Neurospora crassa OR74A: one gene and its partner. The protein of the gene in region 1 purifies or fractionates together with the protein of each later gene. This does not show direct contact. Links are inferred from orthologs where the notes say so. Each region holds a gene or a part of one and is shown on either strand. Other genes may lie near its edges.

Region 1 (3,958 bases):
GCGGTGTGAGTAGATCAGCCCGGCTGTCTCCTTCTCCTGACGTCTCGTAAAGTCGGAGACGGACCAGCTGTAGAGACCGTCTACGCTGTCTCTGTAGGCGAGCATTATCCGGAGCAGCTCGCTTAGCTGGACCATGTAGGAGTTGCGATCTTCGTCGGTCGTGGAAGATGCTGAGACAGGGTCGCCTGTCTGCGGGTACGGTCGTCGTTTGGCACCGAGGAGACCCTTGTGTGTGATAGATGTGAGGTATTTGGTATGGGCAGTTATTAGGTCGTCGAGCGTGCAGTTCTCCTTGTGAATGTTCTTTTGCAGTTCGGTCCAACTGCTTTCGATAACCTCAAAGAGGATGTAGTACTGTAATTGGCCGACAAAATGGACCATCTCGGCGAGGACACCCCGTGTGCTCTTCCATGTTTGAAGCACCGTCTCGTCCGACGTCTGGAGAACGCCGCGGGCGCCAGTCATGCACTTGCGCCAGGTCGAGGCCAGGGCAAACTCGACACGCTTGATACGCCAAAGGAAGTTGAAGACTTTGAGGTACTGTCGATTGCCCCACTCGGTGACAACGACGTCCACGGGCGCGTCAATCTTGTACTCGAGCGTAAAGCAGTCCCAGCCGATATCACCATGGCTAAGCTGAAGCATGCGAGCATCCAAGCGATTGGTGATTTCTGGATCATCATATTGAGCGTTTGAGCCTCGGATGGCATGCTCAAGCTGCGCAGTGAGTGTATGTCGATACTGGGCGCCCGCTGGCCGATCTAGGTTAGGAGCCAGCGACTCCATCAGCAGAGCAATGAAATCACCCTGCCCCAGCAGAATGTACCGCTTCAGCGCCTCTAGATGATCAAAGACACGGAATTGGTCATTTAGGAGGCGCATAAGATGGCTCATTGTCTCCCTGTGTGCCTCGTCAATCCAGGCTTCCAGGGTAGCTGTGTCACCATATTTGAGCTCCCTGGACGCATTTTTACTGTAGTCCTCGACCCATTTGTGATCACCGCAGCTGTGGCGGATGAAGTTAAGGGACTTTCCGATGAGGAAAACCTTGTCAGCAAAGTTGCGTGTGATAATACTCGGGACCATGTCCTCAACAAGCTCATACTTGGAGTTCCAGACACTCATTTGGCCCTTAGCTTTGGCGTCTTTCCTCTCCTCATCGAGGGGGTTCTGTTCCCGAACAAAAAACTCCATATGGGGATCGAGGAGCTCTCCGTCATAGATCCAGCGGCGTAGGATATCGTAGAATGGCCGAGTCACGTCAACAAGCAAGCGCTCAGCGAATGCAGCTACGACAGGATCGCCGTGTGAAGACGAAAAGTTGTGGATCAGGGTGACCAACTGCCCACCATGCTTATTCTTGCTCTCCTCGGCAATCAGAGACATGAGGCGCAAGCCCATAGTAGCCTCACGGGTCCATACCACGCATCGCTTGAGCGTAACGCCCGTTTTTCCAATGCCACCACGGGGAGCAGACTCGTCAAGCTCAGAGAGAGCGCGGCGAATTTGAGTCTCCAGGGTAGCCACCAGAGTCAAATATGACCGAAGCTCCTTGCTGATGGCAGCCCGTAGACTCTGGCCCAGTAGTCCGTTTGCCGGCGTTTTGGTAAACTCGTTTAGTCCTCTGTAGAGAAGCGAAGGCTCGGCCAGCGTGTTGAGAAGAGAGATGATGGGGATAGGAAGCGTTGGTGGTAGCTTCAACGTTGTGTCGTTGAGAAAGGGGAGAGTTGCCGATGAAAGGCCCTGCAGGGTGAAGGGCAGGTCCCTCAACAAGGCCGGCTCCGAAGGGTCATGCGCCACATCCCTTTCGTCTCTTGAAGCAGGGCCAGCCTGGTGACTCTGGACAGGCGTATGACCTTGGTCTCGACCATGTCTTGGCCTTTCTGGGGGGAGATTGTGAGAGCCTTCGGGAGAAGGGGCATCCTCCATGACCTCCTCATCCTGAACCTCGTCATATGCCGGGATCCTGGGTTCGGCAGGCCATGCTGACGGTTGAGGAGGTGTTTGCGCCTGGATCTGGGGGTGGAACTGAGGGTCGAAATGAGGTTGCTGTCGGGCAAGCGGGCTTAAAGGGAGGGGCTCATTGGGGTCTGGCGAGTCCGAGAGCTGGTATAGAAAGTAGAGGATGGCCCACTTTTGGTTGAGCACCGGGAGGGAGAGTAGTCGGGTGTAGAGGTGGGAAAAGCGCAGTGCCTGGGTTGGGTTTCCCTGGATCAGCTTCCTCTTGATCAAGTCGGAGGCATTGTTGACGTCGGCATCATAGCTTGGCGAGGAGGGTCTGGTTTGGGGAGAAAGGCAGAGAGAGTTAGCAATGTTTGTTTTGTTATCTCAGGCCGGCGCCGTTGCTGGAGCAAGCCTCCTTACTGTTCGAGAAGGGCCTTGACGGCCGAGGCATAGTCGTCGTGTCGAAGCTCGGCGGTCTGGTCGTCTTCGTAGGGGTTTTCGGGGATCAGGTGGGCTATGAGGCTGTCGATGGCGCTGGAGATCTTCTGGGCTCGGTGTTCCTGCTGTCGGCTAGCCATTGTTGCATTGTCTGGGGGTGGGTGGAATTGGCGGCGTCCAGTTGTATGCCCATCACATCTTCCTTGTCTCCGTCCCTTGGTTCTTCAGCTTTCCTTTGCTTGCTCGAATTTCTCAAACCTAATGATGCCAAGTGGTAGCGCAGGTGGGTTTGGTTTGGTTTGGTTTGGTTTGGTTTGGGGGGTGTTGCCGGCCGGAGAGGGGACGGGACGCGCCACAAGACGCGACAGACGGTGATGGTGTTGATCTTGTTGTTTGTTCCTGGAAGCTTGGTACTGAACCTACCTAAGTTGCACTTGGTGATCATGGCGGCTCTTTCCAGCGCTCCCAGTTCACTGAACGGGAAAATAGACTAGTACACTGCCCGGGTTGTAGGCGGCAGGCAGTAGAGGTACCCGGGCGCTCAATAGGTAGGTAGGTAGAGGTAGTTCCATGTTGCGCCCGTACCTTAGGTGATTTAGCGTGCATCTTTCAGCGCTCTTTTCAGAACTCTCTCGCAAAGTCCAACAACCCAACAACCGCCCGGAAACCGAAGTGACCACCAAAGGAGGAGGAGAACGACAACTCAGGTCCCGTGGGTCTCGATTCAGACTTCCAACCGTCCAACAACCAGCCTTTGTCGATCTGATACACCAATCTACTTGTCGACGACAGGATGCTCAATTCATCAGTCTGAGCCCAGATTCGCAATTGCATAGCGTTGGCCGACGGTTTCAGGCCCAGATGATCATATTCCCGCGTCGCAATTGTGCTGTTGCTTCGCACGCGACTGTCCGGGACTGACGCCATTCGCAGGCAGGGGCTTCATATTCCAAGGGAAGCGCCCATTACCAACGAGTAGAGTTCTTGCTCGGAAGAAGGGAAACCATTATCAACTTCAACTTTCTTCTGTTTGGGGGAGTGGTCCGACCTCCTGAGGTTCTTTCTGGAGGACGCCAGGCACCATCCTTCTCCTTCTTCGCCGAGGTCACAGTCCGCCCTCCTCTTCCGGTTCCGGTTCCGGTCCCGGCCCGGATTTCGACCTCGACGGCATTTCCAGACCGACACATCTACAACCGCTCTGTGAAGAGCCACACCTACCAACATGGTCGACATAAATCCCGCGGCCCTCAGTCGGCCATCCGTCAACATCTCGACTCCTATTCTTGCTACAAAATCCATCAATGTTTCCGTTCCTCCATTACAAAAGCCAAAGACCAGCCAACTCATCCCGGCCCGCATCGACCTCGAACCTATATATACTGCTCTCAGGGCAAACATTGGTCTAGAACAATGGACGGTTTACAAGGAAGCCGTTGGCAACTTTCTGCTTGGTTGGTCTCCCTTCAGGCCGACTGCCCTCGACACGCCCAGGGACTAACAAACATCCTTTTGTAGGTCGCCTCAACCAAGCCGAGCTCAGTGCGCGCATCGACCCAATATTGGCCTCTCCCGATGG
Region 2 (4,212 bases), on another chromosome or scaffold:
GCATGTTTTCTTCCTGGGGAAGTTGGAGCAACAGGGAAGCTCAAGGGACTTCTGGGAAGGACTCCTACTCCTCCCCTCCCGCGCTGGATGACCATGTCGTTTGAAATCCGTGCATCTCGAATTCTCGCGGTAATCTGCATTGAGCGCAGTGCATCTGATGTATTTTGCCAAATCTTGATGAGGTCATCTTCACCCTGAAGTGTTGGTAGGGAGATACGCCTATCACCGTCCTTGGGTTCCTGATTGAGACTAAAAGCAGTCAATGCCATCCCTGTCTCAATATTTTGTCTAAATACGCTAAGGAGTGCCAAGATGTGGTGATAGCTTCATCTGCATCTATATAGCTTCCTGCAGAGGACCATAACGATATTGATCGCAGCACCCACTGACAATGAAACACAACCAAGAAACAGAAAAAGTAAAAAAAAAAAAGTAAAAAAAAGAGAGAGGACAAGAGCTGGAATCGAACGGCTGACGTCACGTTCAACTGGAAGGGAGTAGAAGAGCCCTATTTTGCATAGCCGGAAGACGCCAGCTTACAGTGCTTCCAGGGAGGTTCTCCCCCGCCATTTAGGTCCCCGTTGGGTCACCTACGGCGGCGAGGGCCCCCCCCCCAGCATGTGGTGCACTACCCTCCTTGTGCAAAGAGAGCTCAGCGCACCACGCCGCTCGACCACGCAGCCACTTGTCAGTTGGTTGAGTACTTATCACCTTGGGGTCCTTTATGAAGCCCAAGCTGAGGTCGCGCGTGCATGCATTTTGGGGTTTGAAGACAAGTGGTATTTCCATAGCCTCAGTGGTCAAAGAGCTGCTGCAATCTATCGACAACATGCCAAACGATACAGAAAACGCGCGCCAACACCTTTCTCCTGGTTTTCCCTCCCGCCCAATAACGCCTGCGAACAACAATCTGGTCGTGATATCGCGTCAGCCTAGTTAAGAAAAAAAAAAAAAAGAAGAGAAAAAGAGGGATACCAGCTGTCTTTAAAGGATCCCAGGTATAGTCGCAAAACAAAAGGCCCCCAGCTGGCCATCATCTGTCCGGCTAAGACTCAAGCCATTCTCTTGTCCGTGTCAGCCGACGCGTTTTCGCCAAGCTCGGGGTTGAGATAATTGGCGTCTTCGGCAGCCTCGTAATCGGCAATAAGGTCCATGACGACCTCCCTGGCTTCGTCAAACTCGTTGAGGTTTTCAGAAAACGGCGCCGTCTTTTTGTAGGCTTCCATAAAGGCGTTGCGCTTCCGCATGCCATCGTACTGCCTAACGATACGCTTGAAGAGCTGTGTGAAGAAATGTCAGTTTGATCATCTATCTAGCCAACACAGCAGCAGTTGACATACCGTAGCAATACTAGTATGGTTTGCCAACATCAAACCACTGACACGATGTGCCATAGTCACGTAGGGACTCCTCTTGGTCAGTGCCACCTGGATGCTAGCGGGACCCCAAGGAATGAATGTAGCAAGACGACGTTCCCTAATACGGAGCAGACTCTTGTGCACATCGGTTGGGTCCACGTCGCCCTGGATGACGTTCAGGATGGAAATGTAGCAGCTCTTCTTGCCGGGTACAGTAGACACCATGCGATTCTTGGGCTGCAGCAATCGTCTCATGACGTCGAGAACCGTCGTTTTGCGCACCGTCTTTGCCTGCTCTACCTGGTCGCCAGTGAAGGGCGTGTACGACGTCATCAAGAAGTGGCATCGAGGAGTCGGAATCAAGGACGCGAGAATGCTGACCAGGTCGTTGTGCATGTAGCCGGGGTATCGAAGGGTGGTTGTGCTGGCGGACATGACGGTCGATACGAGCTGATTCGTCTGTTGGAAGGATGGCTCTTGTACGTGTAGTCTGTCGGCGGCAATGTGTGACAAGGCGCCGTTGTCAAGCACCACTACCGAGTCGGCGTTTTGCGTTAACCTCCTCATGGCAAGTAAACTGTTGTAGGGGTGCACGACAACATCGCCGGCGCTGGTCGTGTCGGGAAATACCGAATATGTCTGGATGATCTTCTTGGGGAAGCGGTCGTTCAGTCGCTCGAGTAGGAAAGAACCCAGGCCTGATCCTGTGCCGCCGGCGATGGAGTGTAACATCATGAAGCCCTCGAGGGAGTCGCTGCCGTCGGCTTCGCGCTCAATCATCTCCATGATCTCCTCATGTACCTGCTCGCCTGTTTGGTAACCATCACCCCAGTTGTTACCCGCACCAAGTCCGCTCTTGCCCACGTAGAAGTTTTCTGGGTTGTATATGTTCCGGTATGGTCCGGTCTGGATGGTATTGATGACTCTGGGTTCGAGATCGATCAGGATGGACCGGGGAATGTATCGCGTATCGTCGCTCTGGTAAAAGAAGACATCTTTACGGTCGCCGCCTTCGGTCGCAAAGTCCTCGATGGTTCCGTCCTGGCTGATGCCATGCTCCAGACAAAGCTGCTGCCAGAACTGGCTTCCGACTTGAGAATGTTAGCAGAAACTGCGCGTCCAGCTGCCGGATGTCGAGGCGCAAGACTGGGTGAAGGTCGACTGCCTCCTCGTCGGGTTGAATTGGGCACTCACTGCTGTTGCCGCACTGGCCGGCCTGGATGGTTATTATTTCTCTGTTTGCCGGTTAGTCACGATATGTTGGGTGCTGGGATGAGGGACGCGTACCTGGGCATGGTGGTGGCATTAACGAGGCGCGAGACCTCCAGGCGGAAATTGTTGCAATTGGGACAAAAGCGGAGGGAACATCGGTAAACATATGGAAGGACGTCAGCAGAGCACGCCCGGTAGTTCCCCACATTGGATTGCAGCACGTTGCCCACCACTACTACGCTAAGATTCCCGCGTCGACGCGACAGAAACGGGAGGAGATGGAACCCAGGTAGCTGCCGTGCCCCTGCGAACGCTACAAGGGACGGGAAATCACCAAACGCTACCTACCTCTACCTACAGTGACGCCCGCTGTCAGCTGCTAGCAGCATGATCGGAGAGGGGCACCTAACCTGGGCCGGTAGAGGTACCTCTCTCTACCAGAGACATCCAATGATCCATCGTCTCCATCCACCTATCTCGTGGCTGGCTCCCGTCGGCTGGATCTAGCAGTTCCAGGACCCGGGATTGCTAACCCTGTCGGGTATAGCTTCTGTAATTCGTTAAGGGCCGTCCATGCCTGCATGTCCAAGCACCCCAACCTAAAATGACAAAACCCCATTTTCCAGCAGGGCAGTCCAGGTGCGACGGGGGGCTCCTTCAGCGCCTTTCCACTTGGTTACTGTAGCGGAGCATTGCGCTACCTAGGTAAGTACCTTGCAACGTGACGGGACGGGATCCTTCGTCTCACCACTTTGACAAACACCCGACACACGCAGGCAGGCGTCTTGCACGTTTTACCCCTCCACATGACGGGGAACGTTGACGTAGAAGAAAGGTGACGGTCAAGAGATCAGGCAGAACTCTGAGGTGGAGAGAGTAGTTGACCGAATAATGAAAAAAACAAATTATTCCAGGTTGCTCTTGGTTCTCTCATTCCAACCTTACTACGCAGGTACAACGGACAGTTACCGTACCGGACGATACAGGTAGTAACAGTAACAGTAACAGTAACAGTAACAGACGGGCGCGGCCAATAAACAACAACTTCCAAGTTTGACCTCTCTCCTGCCCCTTTTCGCGTCTACCTTTTCCTTGTACGGGGATGCCCGCTGTGTACTAGTAAGTAGAGTACTACTACTCTAACAGTTTACACCTTGCTTCAATCTCCAACGTCACCTCATCTTGCTTTCTCTACACTACTTCGACCTCCCCCTAAAACCGACTGTATCTGCGAACTTCCACCTTGGGAGGTACTTCATACTGTTCAAGGTAGCCACGCCACCGTCTCCATCTTCTTTCACCGACCTTGTTGGCCCGATTGGAACCACTCTGCCGCTCTTTTCCCGGTCGTTGGCTCGTTCCGATTAGCAATTCCCATTATTCAAAAAGTTGACCGCCGTCTTCGAGCCCCTGGAGAGTCAACCCGCTTTCCACGAGCGTGACCATTTCTACCGTTACTTGTGAGCCGCGGCATGTTTCGCTACCGAGGATCCTACCCCTTCTTCTCTCAAGATACTGTCCACATCTCCCAGCATCAAGGACAACAACAGCAACAGCAACAGCAACAGCATACTTCACCAGTCCCCCGGTAGGCTGACCAACCGTCAACCGCCCATCGTCTGCCATGGCCGACCCGACCCGA

The links.
Region 2: the proteins of NCU04319 (region 1) and tbg purify together in Schizosaccharomyces pombe (affinity purification with western blotting; 3 studies listed by BioGRID, with this or other methods). This does not show direct contact. The link is inferred for Neurospora crassa OR74A from reciprocal best matches to the Schizosaccharomyces pombe genes alp6 and gtb1.

What each region holds. Positions count from the first base shown.
Region 1 is NC_026505.1:5,600,170-5,604,127, forward strand, and holds the start of NCU04319 (spindle pole body component), read right to left. Parts: upstream 2,801-3,958; 5' UTR 2,523-2,800; coding exon 2,365-2,522; intron 2,279-2,364; coding exon 1-2,278. Other genes in the region: NCU04320 (transcriptional co-activator), read left to right, coding at 3,605-3,833, 3,898-3,958.
Region 2 is NC_026506.1:2,228,074-2,232,285, forward strand, and holds tbg (tubulin gamma chain), read right to left. Parts: upstream 2,801-4,212; 5' UTR 2,654-2,800; coding exon 2,646-2,653; intron 2,594-2,645; coding exon 2,553-2,593; intron 2,450-2,552; coding exon 1,341-2,449; intron 1,281-1,340; coding exon 1,053-1,280; 3' UTR 316-1,052; downstream 1-315. Other genes in the region: NCU03955 (phospholipase D1), read left to right, coding at 4,195-4,212. UniProt on the Schizosaccharomyces pombe protein: Tubulin is the major constituent of microtubules. The gamma chain is found at microtubule organizing centers (MTOC) such as the spindle poles or the centrosome, suggesting that it is involved in the minus-end nucleation of microtubule assembly.